Macaca mulatta: one gene and its partner. The protein of the gene in region 1 purifies or fractionates together with the protein of each later gene. This does not show direct contact. Links are inferred from orthologs where the notes say so. Each region holds a gene or a part of one and is shown on either strand. Other genes may lie near its edges.

The links. Proteins that work in one complex are often made in the same cells at the same time.
Region 2: the proteins of SERBP1 (region 1) and RBM42 purify together in Homo sapiens (affinity purification with mass spectrometry; 3 studies listed by BioGRID and IntAct, with this or other methods). This does not show direct contact. The link is inferred for Macaca mulatta from reciprocal best matches to the Homo sapiens genes SERBP1 and RBM42.

What each region holds. Positions count from the first base shown.
Region 1 is NC_133406.1:173,175,587-173,183,056, reverse strand, and holds the start of SERBP1 (SERPINE1 mRNA-binding protein 1), read right to left. Parts: upstream 3,937-7,470; 5' UTR 3,835-3,936; coding exon 3,522-3,834; intron 1-3,521. UniProt on the Homo sapiens protein: Ribosome-binding protein that promotes ribosome hibernation, a process during which ribosomes are stabilized in an inactive state and preserved from proteasomal degradation.
Region 2 is NC_133424.1:46,886,601-46,893,925, reverse strand, and holds the start of RBM42 (RNA-binding protein 42), read right to left. Parts: upstream 3,906-7,325; 5' UTR 3,782-3,905; coding exon 3,654-3,781; intron 3,416-3,653; coding exon 3,262-3,415; intron 1,885-3,261; coding exon 1,800-1,884; intron 1,694-1,799; coding exon 1,619-1,693; intron 84-1,618; coding exon 18-83; intron 1-17. UniProt on the Homo sapiens protein: Binds (via the RRM domain) to the 3'-untranslated region (UTR) of CDKN1A mRNA.

The DNA of each region.
Region 1 (7,470 bases):
TTCCAATCCATACCACGGACCAAATACATAAATAAATAAAATACAGACAATAAACTTGTTTTAAACTTCTATTTAGTTTGCCAAGTTATTCTCCCCCTCATAAGCATTTTCTATAACTGACTTGGAAATCATTTGGGCAACCATTATTCCCGTCACTTTTCAAGATATCAGTCTCTTAATAAAAAGTTTTAAATTTAAAAAATGTTAGGCAAGTGATACATTTTGGCTTTTAAAATACCAAAGAAAATACCAGCAGCCATTCATAATAACCAAGCAAATCAACACACTCACTAGATATGGCCCCTCACAAAAGTGAGGGCCACACTTTGTTATCCTATCTAATCTGAAAAAACAAAAAAGCAATTAAGACTCATAATTCTATGGAATCACAAATCTGAAAGGAAAATATGGCATTTAGGATTATTAGAGAACATCACCTCAGTTTAAAACAGCCATTTAACCAGAAAGTGTCATCTTTTAGTCTCAACTGCAGGCACACAAAAAGGGCCATCTTCCCCTATTAAACAGTTTAAAAATTTATAGCATGTAAGTGTATATATGTTTGTACACACTCCCACATCTCTAAGTACTTCCAAGTTAGGAAACAGTTACTTATTATGCATGGAGACAGTCCTCTAAAAAATCTGCCCTAACAACTATCTTTATTGTCAAATAATCTTTAAAAACCAAATCCACACACATAAGACCCCTTTTAAGCAGTATGTAAGAAATAAGAAACTTGTGACACTAAGTGATAGCTGAAGCATTTACTAATTTCCCCCTTTACTGCTTTTCCTGTAATGTTTGAAACCCCACAAAGGCAACCAATGTAAATTACTAGTGCCCTTAAGGATCAATAGATGGATGATTAAATTAATGACTTTAAGATTGTTGGTATGCTCTAATTCCCAATTTCTGACAAAGTCATAAAGCAGCTGAGGAATTGGTTTTACAAGATTTTAAGCTGCTTCACTTTGGTTCTAAGAAAGTAGAACACCATCAGGACACACCCAATTGTTCAATTGCCTGTAACTGGAGCCAAACAGTAACTATCAGTCTCTTCAATAGAATTTTGAAGTTCATTCCCAGCAAATACAAGACAGACTACAAATGTTAGACCTTACACCAAGGTATTTAAATAAATGTCATCAGTAATAAAGTGTACTGGGGTGGAGTTAAGGAGCCAGTCCTTGCAATAATATCCAAGCCACACACACCCAAGTGAACAATAGTTGGCGTCCCCACCCAATATCAATATTAAGCTTACAGAATCTTAGAAACTTAGATTAAACTCACCTAATGAAAAAGACTGACATTTAAAAATGCAAGCTTCTTTTGATATACTTATGTATAACCTGCAAGCTCATTAACTGCACTAGTTTCAGGCATCCATTCTGTTTTAGAAAATTCCTGGTCTACACTCTCAATGACATTCTGCTATCAATTCTCAAGTTCTTCAAATGGGCAAGAGAAGCTACAAAATTAATTCATAAAACATAAACATTAAATATCTGTCTAAAGTATGTCAAGCATTATGTCACAATGTGTTGTCAAAACCACAGAACACAATCAGGTTAACCTTCCTACTATCTGCAGGGATTTTGTTTACAGATATATTCCCAGTAAATAGGACAGTAGAATCTCAAAACGGGTATTGTCCATTCAACACTTTTCCTGTATTTACATGCTTGTATTTTATGCAACTTAATAAGAGTGCTCTGAAATACTGACCTAAGGAAAATGTTGATTGCTAATATGGAATAGTTTTCCCATGGAAAGACTTATTGAATGGTGAACTTAAGTCTTAGTTCTAACTTCATGAAATCATTCCCCACATTTGTCACTTAAAATACTTTTCAGGTAAGAGCTTATTTCTTAGATGGGCTTCATGATCAAAATAACTCAGGCATTTAAACATGCTTCATGTTTTGAACATTCAAAATGAGTGAACACATCTACCTGGTACACACTATTCGTCAGACTCAACTTTTTGGTTTACTTTCTTAAGCTTAAGCATAGTTTAAATAATTACACAAGTCAGCGTTACTTAACACACGAATTAAATGATTTATTTAGGTGTGTTAGATTGCCATAAAGCTTAATTGGCTGAAGAGATACTTGGCCTAAGTGATGTACATGCTTTCTAATACTCCAACTGTGTTTCTCCTCAACCTATAATTTTACCACAAGAATTATTTTCTTTCATTCACCACCTAGGACCGAGGTTCTTCATTCTAAGCCTCATAAAAGTCCTCAAAAAAAAAAAAAAAAAAACCACAAAAACCAATAAACCTCCTAAAACAAATCCCACCACGAGGAAATTGTTTTGATTTTCAAAATTAGTTGAATGTCACAGAAGTCAACAAAAGCTAATGAGAACTCCTTTCAGAGAAGCACGTGGCAGGAAGGGGTAATTTCAACTTTCAACATATAAATACAGCTTTAAAGATTCAGACCTTAGGTCCGACACCTGCTTGCTATTGATCATGCACGTTCTTATCTTCGAACTACTTGCTCTTTTTCATCCGTAACAAACTGGTAATGAGAATGCAAAAATCAAGACAATCCTGTGAAACTCACAGTGCCCTGGAAGCAACTATTAACCGCCAGTGAAACTCTCACCATGCTTCACGCACATGTGGAGGGGGAAAAAAAAAGCTGCAGACTCTAAAGAGCTCTGCTGCGACTAACGCTGTGACAGCCTCTGCACTCACTTTACCCACGAGGCCCAGAGTCCACCATGTGAAAGACTCAGTTTGGGGAGTCGAGAGAGAGAGGATCGTGACTCGAGGACTTTCCTCGGGACGTCCTGCGATCACCAGTCTTCATTCATAATTCCCGCTTCTGCTTAGTCGAGTGTGGCCAAACTCCTCCATTTCCCAACAGCTCAACTCACCCCAGCAAGTTCTGAGAAAGTCCTAACAGTTGAGAGGTGGAGGAGAAACAATAAAGCACACGCGGCACCCCAACCTGCGGCTGACTCCACACGTCCGATGGCCTGGAACGACCCCCTGCTTTTCGGCGGGGATACTCCGCGCCGTCGTGGGACAAGATGGCAGGACAGGAGCCTGAAACAACAGCACCTCAAAGGAGCAGCTCTGCGCAGTAAGCAGCGATGGACCCCGAGCCCCTCCGTAACTACGGCAAGCGTCGGTGAGCGGCCGGCTTCCCCGCACCTCAGTCCATGCGCTCGCCCGCCAAGGAATCCGGCGGGAAGGCAACAGCCTCCCCGGACCCCGAGCGCGCTCGAGGAGCAGCTCATCTCCGACCACGCTCCTCCGCTCACAACCTAAGGCGGGAAGGGGGTGGCTCCGAGAGCCTCGCCGGCGGTGGCTTCAACTTGGGGCTACCACGCTCCTGGCACCTTCGCAGGACCTGGCTTTTGTCGCGTGAAGAAACGTGAGGAAATAGGCGGCAAAGTCTCCCGCGGACCCTCGGAGCTCCAGAAACAAGTGGTAGCCGGCAGCCCTCTCGCTCCTTCCCTCCATCCCAGTCTCCCCCACATTCTGCCCCTGCTTTACCTTCTTTCTTAAGCGCCACGGGCGGCTGCGTCTCCTCTTTCTTGTCAACCACGCCAACGCTGGGGGGCAGCGGGTTCTTGCGGTCTTTCTGGGACTCCTTGCGCAGCTGTTTGCCTGCCGCGTTGGAGTTGGTCTGGGCCGCGGCCTGAGCTGCGCTCTTGGCCCCGGGGCCCCCAACGCCGCCCCCGCCGGCTTCTTTTTTCTTGTTCTCCGCTGCCTTCAGCACCTCGAAGGGGTCCGATTCGTCGTCAAATAACTGGTCGAATCGGTTGGTGACCACGCAGCCGAAGCCTTCCTGTAAGTGCCCAGGCATGATGGTGGCTCGGCGGCGCGTTCCTCCACGGATTGCAGCGGGCCGCGCCGAGCCAAGAGCGCCTGCTTCAGCTCTTCCCACAAGATGGCCGGGCCGAGAGAGGGGGGCCGTCTTCTCTTCCGGCGCCAGGCACACATCCGGGAGCGGCCAGCGCCGCAAGGCACTGTGGGGTGTGTAGGCCAGAGTAGTTTCTCCTGAGGCGACTCCCTGCGTTGGGACTACAATTCCCAGGATGCACCGCGCGACAACTCTTCGCGCGCGCCCGAGAGGCGGGACCCCAAGAAGGGAGTGAAGCGTGCGAGCTGAAGGAGGGGAAGCGTGGTGGTGGGCGGAGTCCTGCCACCTGCTCTGGTCGCCCTTAAACTCTGTAGGTCTTCAGCTACCCTGAAACCAGAAAAACGTGACGGCGTAGCTGACTCGCGAAAGTGCTCTTTGGTTTCACTCACGCTCCCTCGGGCTCAGGCTAACTTTCCCCACCGCTCCGGGAAGGGTCAAGGTGACTCCCAGACCTTACATCTGAGACGCACAAACTTCCGGGGGAGGGGGTGTTGCTGAGACGCCGCGCCGGCAGCGAGTAGGCTGGACCCTGCCTGTGCCAAGTCCGAGCAGCTCAGTCGCTGGAGTGCCCTTTTGTCAGGCTCCACGGTGAATCGAGGCTCTTCTGTCTAATGTGAGGTGGAATACGTTTCCTCTCGCGGGGACGTGAACTAGGGTAGCAGAACTAACCAAAAAGACAAGTGAAACTATCACATGGGAGTGTGGCGCGTCTTTCCCGGGCTTCTCACCGTGTGGCGGCCGGTGTCGTAGGAGTGGTTAACTCCTGACTGTGCAGCGCTAGACACTGGGCAAGCCGCTAGGAAGCACTGTTTACAGAAACGCTGTTACAGTCATTCCAATTAATTGTCCGTTCGTGTCCGGCAAGTCAGGGCTTAGGTGGCTGTGGTGTTAGTCACATGCGCTCAATAAATACCATTTTAGAGCATTTCGAGTGCGTGTGTGCTAGGAGTTGCGGTGAGGGGTGGGAAATATTGAAGTCAATACTTAATAATAACAAAGCATTGATACTAGTTGAGAATATTAAAGTTCATTAAAAGAATACAGTTTGAATGCATTTTAAGCACATTTGGTAGCACCGTGTTTAAATATATCATAATTTTTAAATCCTTTTCCATTAACACAAAATAGCAAATGCATCTCTGGCAGGAGCTATGAATAACCTTGAACTCAACATTGTGTTAGGCAAATAGTTGCCTCTTTTCACAAATGCTGAAACCACTTCAGAGATGAAATGATTTACCAAATTCACACCTCTGTAAGTGCTAGTGACAGGTATTAGCCCAGCCTTCTACCTCCACTAGGAGACCGGACATCAGCTCTTTAATTCAGACTCTGCACTGATAGAAAGCTGTCCAATGTTTAAGTTTCCGATATGATTTAAACATGGTTGTGTGTCAGGGTATGTAACATGGCGGAATGTAATCATCAATTTCCGAGCAGATTTTAAATCAATTCCTTAGCAGGGAAAATAGAAGACACGAGTCATATTACATACATGTGGCAGCAAACCTCCTGGTTTTCTTATTTCTCAATCCTCCCCTACTCTTCAGAGCCACTTACTTCCCTGCTGCCTCAGTCCTACCCACCCCAACCTCAAACACACCCCCTATCTCATCCTCTCTTTCACAGGCTCTGGCTCTGTGGCACCTACCAAGACAAGGAGCTTTTGACCATACTCTTCCCACCTTTTCGAAATAGCTCAAGTGCAATGTAGAAGATCTCCACATTTTGACAGATCCTCTCTCTTCACGGGCTGTTGCATCTTTGAGACTATCTGCATCTTTGAGACATCTGTGAAAGCTCCCCTTCTTACCTCTTTCTGGCCACGGCCACAGTAACGATATTCATAGCCAAAATGTGATGTTTTAGTATGTGCTTGGTGCACTTTACGTATGTGATCTCCTTTAAACCTTACATCAGCTCTATAAGAAAGTTATTACTCCATACCCCCCCCCAAAAAAGGTTATTACTTCTGTTTTAAGATGAAGAAAATGAAAACAAAGAGCTTAAGTAAGTTAACTACTCCTGCCACAATCGGGGGCTGGAGCAGGCCTGTTGTTAGTCATTTTTTTCCTCCATTACAGATTTCTGGTTTGCTCAGACAGATCTTCGTGACCACCAAGCATTATTATAATAAGAATATTTGAAAATAAGCTACACTTAGAGAAATTTTCGGCTATGAATTTATGAGGTTCATTTATGCTCCTCAGAGAATTTACCTATTAAGATTACATAAAAATGTTATGAATAAGCATTTGAAGAAAAGGGGAGAATCTTTTATATTTCTGAAAAGTTTTAAAGTCCATTTTTAAAGTATACAAATAAAGCTCAAGATGGTCTTTTACATCTCTCAATCGTTATTTTATAACTAGTTATTTTCAGTTTCCTTTATTCTACAAAGTTGAAATATTAATTTCTTAATATTAAATATTAAAATTCTAAAAGTTCTTGCTACTCTCACTAGGAAAACATCAGCCAAATAATCCTCAAGGGAAGAGAAATTTCCCGGCAGACACTAGTATTCAAATTAAAGGCATGATTTATAAAAGCGACAAGTGTCAGGCGGTATCACTGATTAGACATGTGGCCTAAAATGTCATCTCTCTGTAGCAATATTTGAATCACATCTTCTTCTCTGAAAAATACTCATGAAACTTAACAGTCTTATCTACAACAAGCCTCTCTGAAGGGTTTTCTAGCAATAAATGCTGAAAACCATGATTAAATATCCAATGTAGTTGCCTGATGTTAACGAAATGGAGAAACAATATTATATATCTCCTTCTTCCTGCCTTCATTTACTTTCAGGATCCTAATGCAATATTCAGTTCTCAGCCACATTACAACTTGCTTTCATCCATTTCTTCATAATCTCAACCCCCTGTTATTGTTGCTATAAATAATAGTAATAATTAACAATTGCTGTACTACATTTTTTTCTACCCATGTTCAGGTGATTCTCCTGCCTCAGCATCCGGATTAGCTGGGATTACAGGCGTGTGCCACCACGCCCGGCTAACTTTTTGTATTTTTAGTGGAGACAGGGTTTCACCATGTTGGCCAGGCTGGTCTTGAACTCCCAACCTCAAGTGATCCACCCGTCTTGGCCTCCCAAAGTGTTGGAATTACAGGCATGAGCCACTGCACCGGGTCTACTTACTACCATTTGCACATTTGTTACGCAGTAGACACTGCTAAGTATTAAATATTAAATAGCTTACATGCATTATTTCATTTAATTTTCAGAATAACATTATGAAGTAAAAAGTAGTATTACCTCTATCCCCCTTTTATAGATAGGGAACCTGAGGTTAAGTGCCCCTCCCAAATTCACATTGACTGAAAGAGTCTGGCAGTCTGATCTTACAGCCTGGGCACCCAGTGGTAACAAGGAAGAGGAAAAAGTCCTTCATCTTTAAATTGCTACCACGTGTAGCAAAATCAAACTATTCTAACAGTTTGGGGACACTGGATATAGGTATCACATCAATGTAAATAGACTAATTTTTAGTGTATTCAATATATAATGTATTTTTAAAACAAAACCAGTAAAGGTGGTTCTTGTGAAGAAAAGGACAA
Region 2 (7,325 bases), on another chromosome or scaffold:
TGACCCTGGCCCCTCACCTGCTCTCTGTAGCACGTGGGGGACGAAGGCTGGACGCAGGATAGGGGCCCTCTGGGGGGCCACAGCTGTGGGAGAGAGAGATGGGGGTGTGTGTCATGGGGGACAGGGGCACTTGGGGCAAAGTGTGTGTGCATGTGTGCGTGTATGTGTGTGCACTCTCAGCATACAAGAAATCCTGGAGAAGAGTCTGGGGAGCCCTCCTGGGGAGTCCTGGGGGCCTCTCCCCTGGTTCACTGCATGAAAATTTACCACTGAGGAGCTCCTCCGGCTCAGCCCTGTGGCAGGCAATGCTGGGGACACACCCACAGACCCAGGGTTCTCAGGGAGCTCCTGGTCCAGAGGAGCGAATGGAGACATCACTAGAGAACGAGAGACAATGGGGACCAGGGCTGGAAGTGGGGAAGCTCAGGCAGCGGGATCAGTGCTAAGAGAGGGGAGCCCTCTGACCCAGCCAGGCCTAGGGAAGGCTTCCTGGAGAAAGGGACCTGTGAGCTGAGACCCGAGGGACAATGAAGTGTTAGGCAAAGGGTGACTGCGAATATTATTGGCAGGGAGAACACTTATAAGCAAAACCTTTCCCTTTTCAGTTTAGTGTAACTGTAATAGAAGAAGCGGGGCTTAGAGAGTGTCATGAGAAGGGCTAAGCGGCCAGCAGACACCCAAGTAGAACTGTTTTGTTTTGAAAGCACAGCATTCTTGGCTGAACCATGGGTGTCCTCCTGAGGGCACTGGGGAGCCACAGCGGGTTGGAAGCTGGGCAGGGGGAGTAGGTCAGATTTGCATTTTGATCAAAACCATACTAAAAACTAAGAGACATTACAACTTCTCAGAGATCATCAGATTAAAAAGTTTAACAGGGTTTAGGTAACATAAGTAGCATGTTTGGTTTAACAAAGATTATACCAGAATTTTACATCCAAATAAGAACACGCATCCTTTTCATACATATAAGGAAGTAATGTCCTACAAGTTGACAGCGTGAGTAAAGGTTATTTGAAGAACAGAAGGTGGAATGTGGAAAATGGCCTGCGGGGGAGGATGGCTGGAAGATTACAGCTGGGTGACAGTGAGCAGGGAGAGAAGGGACCTTAACAAAAGCACTGCTAGCACATCCCAGAAATGTTCGGGCTGCTGGGGATCTCTCCCTGCAAGAAGCAAGGTCATGTAGGGTTGTGACTGCCAGGGGAAGAGCCTGGTGCTTGTCTCAACAGTCTGTTCATCCCATCAACAGACAGAACATAATGCTTCCTATGTGGCAGGTACTGAGACTTCTGCCCCTCATGGAGCTTGTATTTCAGAGAATGCAAAAGATGATAGCCATAGTCAATAAGAAATGACACAGCTTATTATGAGGTGTTAAGTGCTGTGGCAATTTGGAATTAGGACTGACAGCAGGAGGGTTGGTTTGCAGTGATCAGGTTAAAACAAAATTGACTTGACATCATCAGGAAGGACATGATCAGGTTTGTGCTTTAGGATGACAACATCAAGTTGGGATGAAATGCAAAGGGTGATTTAGAGCAAGGATTCAGGCAAGAGGCTGAAGTCATGTAAACAAGAGTGCCTGATTAAATGTGGGGGTCCCTGACCCCAGACTCACCTGCCCGCCGCAGGAACATGGCTTCTCGAGCCTCTGGACTGTCCAGGTGACTCCGATCACCAGGGCCAAAGCCAACTGTTGGGAGGGAAGAGGCAAGGATGGTGGGAGGAGAGTCCTGGGCACACCTTTTTACCACCCTGCCTGATTGCCCAACCCCCTCACCTTGCCACTCTTTACTTACCGGGGCCTACAAAAGGAGGGCCACCCACCATGGGAGGAACTACTGTGGCTGCAGCAGCTGCCCGGGCCTCCAGAGTCTGCTGGACCTGTCGGGGAAGAGGTCAGGGTGAGGGGCCTGACTCAGCCTTCCCCATCTGCTGAGGCTAGCTCACCCCAAGAGACCAAGAGCTTCATGCTTTATGTTCTGTATGTGACTGGCTATCTCAGGTCTCAGCTACAATGCCACTTCTCGGGGAGGCTTTTGGGATCACACTAGGGCTCTCTGAGCAGCAGCTTCTCTCACCACCTTATTTCGTCTTCCCCACAGCACTTAGCACCGACTGCAACTGTGTCCAACCTCCTCCCCATCTAACATGCACAACCTCCATCCAAGCCACCATTAGCTCCTGTCTAGATTACCGTACTAGCCCCTTCCTCCATCTCCTGGCTTCTGCCCTTGTCTTTTACAGTCTATTCCTTTTTTTTGAGATGGAGTCTCGCTCTGTCGCCCAGGCTGGAGTGCAGTGGTACAAGCTTGGCTCACTGCAACCTCCGCCTCCTGGGTTCAAGTGATTTTCCTGCCTCAGCCTCCTGAGTAGCTGGGACTACAGAAGTCCGCCGACACGCCCGGCTAATTTTTGTATTTTTAGTAGAGATGGGGTTTCACCATGTTGGCCAGGCTGGTCTTGAACTCCTGACCTCGTGATCCACCTGCCTTGGCCTCCCACAGTGCTGGGATTACAGGCAAGAGCAACTGTGCCTGGCTGCCAGGGTTCTTAAAATGGCTGTAAGGCTCTCCAAGATTTGGCCTCACCTCTCTGTCCTTATTTCCTCCCACTTTCCTCTTTGCTCACTCCACTGTCACTGGTCTCCTCGCTCTGTCACCAGTCTCAAGTGCAGTGGTGCAATCTTGGCTCACTGCAACCTCCGCTTCCCAGGTTCAAGTGATTCTCCTGCCTCAGCCTCCCAAGTAGCTGGGACTATAGGCGCGTGCCACCACACCCAGCTAATTTTTGTATTTTTAGTAGAGACGGGGTTTCACCATGTTGGCCAAGATGGATCTCCTGACCTTGTGATCTGCCTGTCTCAGCCTCCCAAAGTGCTGGGATTACAGGTGTGAGCCACCGCACCCAGCGCCCAGCCTATTCTCAATAATTTCTCTCTTTCTCTACTAGTCATATATAGCTGGCTACTGAGCACTTGAAATGTGACTGAGAATAACGAACTATTAAATATGAATTTAAAATATATCAGAACATTCTCATCATTGCAGAAAGCTCTACTGGACAACATGCTCTAGAATATAAGCGCCCAAAGGGCAGAAATGTCTCCCTCAGTCATTACTGTGTTCTCAGTGCCTGGCACATAAAATATTTGTCATGCTAATTAGTCAACAAGCTAAAACGTCAACAGCTCTCTACACAAACACCTACCGTGTTCGAGGCATTGTGTTCCCTAACTTATATGCCTTAGCTCAGCCGTACCTGCTGGTATGTGTTGGTCGCGATAATTGGACGGATCACAGGAGCCGCTGGGACCTGCATCGCTTCTACCGTGGGGACCGTGGGGACCGTGGGCACCGCAGGCACAGCAGTTGGGATTCCGGGTACTGGAGCCCCCAGAACTTCCTGCTCAAACCTGGAGGAGAAGAACAGACACCAGCGCTCAGGACCTCGTACCAATTTTGTAACTCTGGGTATATCGCGAGGGGACCCTCACCCCTGCCAACCTCTCCCCTATCCCCGCCCCCACAATCCCGAAGGTCCCACTTCCCCATGTTAGAGCCGTATCTCTGGCCTATCGAGGCCTGGAGGCTCCGGGATTCGGTGGCTCTGGCTCTGGGACGACTTTTATTACTCCCTGTCGCGGGCCTTACAGGGCCATCTCCGCCTCCATTTCCTTCAAGCGTTCCTCGCCGCTCTTGCCCGGGATGCCAGCGCCAGGACCCGGGACCACGGGTCCTCCTGCACCCGGGAGTCCCGGGGCTGGCCCCGCCCCAGCCATCGCTGCCGCCGTCGTTGTCGCCGCTACTACTGTCTCAGCTTAGCTGCCGCCGCTGGTTCTGCTGTCTACTCTCAGCCTTCGTCTGGGTGGGCTCCCGACGATGACGTCCAGCGAAAGCGACGGGCGGTGGCGCATGACGTCATACGTTCGGACGCGAGAGCCAATGAGATTTTTCCACACCCTCAGGGGACTACAGGCCAATCAGAGTGAGAGAAGGACACAAGAACGCAAGAACCTGGGCCTATGAGAGCACAGCGAAGAGAGGCGGCCCCGCCTTCCTGGCGGCCCACGGGCTAATGAGAGCGAAGCAAAGTCAGTTGGGCCCATCCCCAATGTGGAATCTGGACCTTTGAGAACGCAGGAAACTTCGGAGGACCGTCCTGTGCCACCGCGGAGCCTGCGCCGGAAGTTTAAAAAGACGCTAAAGTCTGCGTCAACCCCAGGATTGGGCAAGGCTGGGAGGCCTGGGGTCCCCAGGTTGACACCCGACCTGTGGTTCCCACGAAGACCAGAGACGCCCAGGAGGAAGCGCCTGACCCGGGCTTCCTGGACGACAGCTGAAGACTTTTGAGGAGGCTGTTCAGTGTGGGAGTCAAGGCCCAGAGACTAGTGCAACTCAGAGGAGCACGTCCGTGGGCTTGGTCCCTGTCCTTTCTTGGGCCACAGCTGACCCTTTTTTTTTTTTTTTCTTTTTATCCCCGTAGCCCTCACAAGTGTTTTATTCTGAGTATTTTCAAACATGCACATTAGGGGGAATAGTATAACGAACTCTTAAGTACCTCTCAAACGCTACCAATATTCAACACGTCTGGATTTCACTTGATCTATTCTTCTCTTTGTCACGCGCGTCCGTGTGAAGAGAGCACCAATTGGGCAGACTTTGTGTGGGCAACAAGGCTGTTTATTTCACCTGGGTGCAGGCGGACTGAGTCCGAAAAAGGAGTCAGCAAAGATTGGTGGGATTATCATTAGTTCTTACAGGTTTGGGATAGGCGTACAAAGTACATTCTCAAGGGCGGGGAGAATGTTACAAAGTACCTTAAGGGCAGGGGAGAATGTTACAAAGTACCTTTTTAAGGGCAGGGGAGAATATTACAAAGTACCTTCTTAAAGGTGGGCGGAGAATATATCGTTTCAGTTAGGGTGGGGTAGGAACAAATCACAATGGTGGAATGTCATCAGTTAAGGCTATTTTCACTTTTGTGGATCTTCAGTTGCTTAAAGCCATCTGGATGTATACCTGCAGGTCACAGGGGATATGATGGCTTAGCTTGGGCTCAGAGGTCTGACACTCTTATTTTGTATTTTAATTTTAATTTATGTATTTGTTTTGAGACAGTCTCGCTGTCACCCAGGCTGCAGTGCAGGTGCCATCTCAGCTCACTGCAACCTCCACCTCCCAGGTTCAGTCTATTCTCCTGCCCCAGCTTCTGGAGTAGCTGGGATTACAGGCTTGTGCCTCCATGCCTGGCTCATTTTTGTATTTTTAGAGGAGATGGGGTTTCACCATGTTGACCAGGGTGGTCTCAAATTCCTGACCTCAAGTGATCTGTCCACCTCAGCTTCCCAAAGTGCTGGGATTACAGGCGTGAGCCACCATGCCTGGCCTTTTATTTTTGTTATTATTTTTTGAGACAGCCCAATCAACCTTTCCCCTAATAGTTTTAGTAGCCCTTCATCATCATTACTTGTATCCATCACTTAATTAATTCATGGCAAATAGTGGTTTTTGAATTCTAGTATTTTCTCTGAAGTTATTAGTTGTGATTCTTCCATAAATAACCTCTTCATCAGAAATTTGGTTACTTAGGCCGGGCACAGTGGCTCACACCTATAATCCCAGCACTCTGGGAGACTGAGGCAGGCAGATTATCTGAGGTCAGGAGTTCGAGACCAGATTGGCCAACATGGCGAAACCCAGTCTCTAGTAAAAATACAAAAATTAGCTGGGCATGGTGGCACGCTCCTGTAATCCCAGCTACTTGGGAGGCTGAAGCAGGGGAATCACTTGAACCCAGGAGGCACAGGTTGCAGTGAGCCAAAATCTCACCACTGCCCTCCAGCCTGGGCGACAGCACGAGACCCTGTCTCAAAAAAACAAACAAGCAAACAAAAAAATTGGTTACTTGTACGTATAAGAAAAATAGAGAACATGCTTCTTTTATATATAAAATTTTTCAAAATAATGAATGGGTGCCTAGTATTCTTCAAAGGTGATTTCAATGAGGTATATGAGTATCAACATGAACTTACAGATTCAGGCATATTTGATGTGCTTCAAACCACTGTGGTTCTTTTTACTGCTCAACATGCCCCACCTTTGGCCAGTGAGAGCCGTTCAGACTGGCTCCTGAGTTCCTTTGACTTGGCCACAGTAGTCTTGGAGGACTTCTTTGCTTCCTGGCACAAAATATCCTGTACACATTTTGCACATTTCTTGCCCCAGACCTAGAATCAGCTGTTTTCACAAGAGTCCCTAGTTCTTAGTCAGAAATGGCACTTAAGAGACCACAGTCGGCCGGGCGCGGTGGCTCAAGCCTGTAATCCCAGCACTTTGGGAGGCCGAGGTGGGCGGATCACGAGGTCAGGAGATCGAGACCATCCTGACTGACACGGTGAAACCCCGTCTCTACTAAAAAATACAAAAAACTAGCCGGGCGAGGTGGTGGGCGCCTGTAGTCCCAGCTACTGGGGAGGCTGAGGCAGGAGAATTGTGTGAACCCGGGAGGCGGAGCTTGCAGTGAGCTGAGATCCGGCCACTGCACTCCAGCCTGGGCAGCAGAGCGAGACTCCGTCTCAAAAAAAAAAAAAAAAAAGAGACCACAGTCTGTATACTAGTGCTGCTCAGTTACTGGGGTGTCATTATATTTAGACCTTTTCAGGGGACTTAACCAGGGAAATATATATTTTTTAGAAAGAGAAAAATCATGACTTTATTCTGATATTTCCAGTTCATATGAAAGACAGGTGTTTACTTCTTTGAGTTTATATTTGTTATCTTTTTTCATTCACACTAAAAATCTCGGTCCCCAATGACATTATATCACTACTTATTTGCTTTAGTATGTAATTTCAAAAAATATAAGGTAGAATCTCAAAATTTAAATGGTCTATTTTATCAAAATAAAAATGCCAGTGTTATTACTAACAATGTGACTACCGTATGAAGTTGAAGATTTTGTTGAGTTCAGTTGAAGGTGGGGGCTGGGAACTGTGATGAGGAGAGAGAGGAGGAGCAGGAACACTAAGGACTGTGCATGGGAAAGCCAACATGGAAAGGCTGGGAAATAGCAACCAGGGGCAGGAGGAAAGCTGGGAGAGTGAAGGGGCTCTGGAGGCCAACAGAGGAGTTGTGTGAGAGATGGACAGCAAGGTTTAAGATCATAAAGCTGCCAAACTTCCAAATTTGAAAACTTACTGCAACACCAGTAAAACTACCATCTGTGCCTGTTTTTCTTCTGGGGTCAGGCAGATTAAATCTAATGTTCACTTAATTTGGGGAAAAAAAATTACCGAGATAGGGGAAACCGTAATCCCAGTAGGC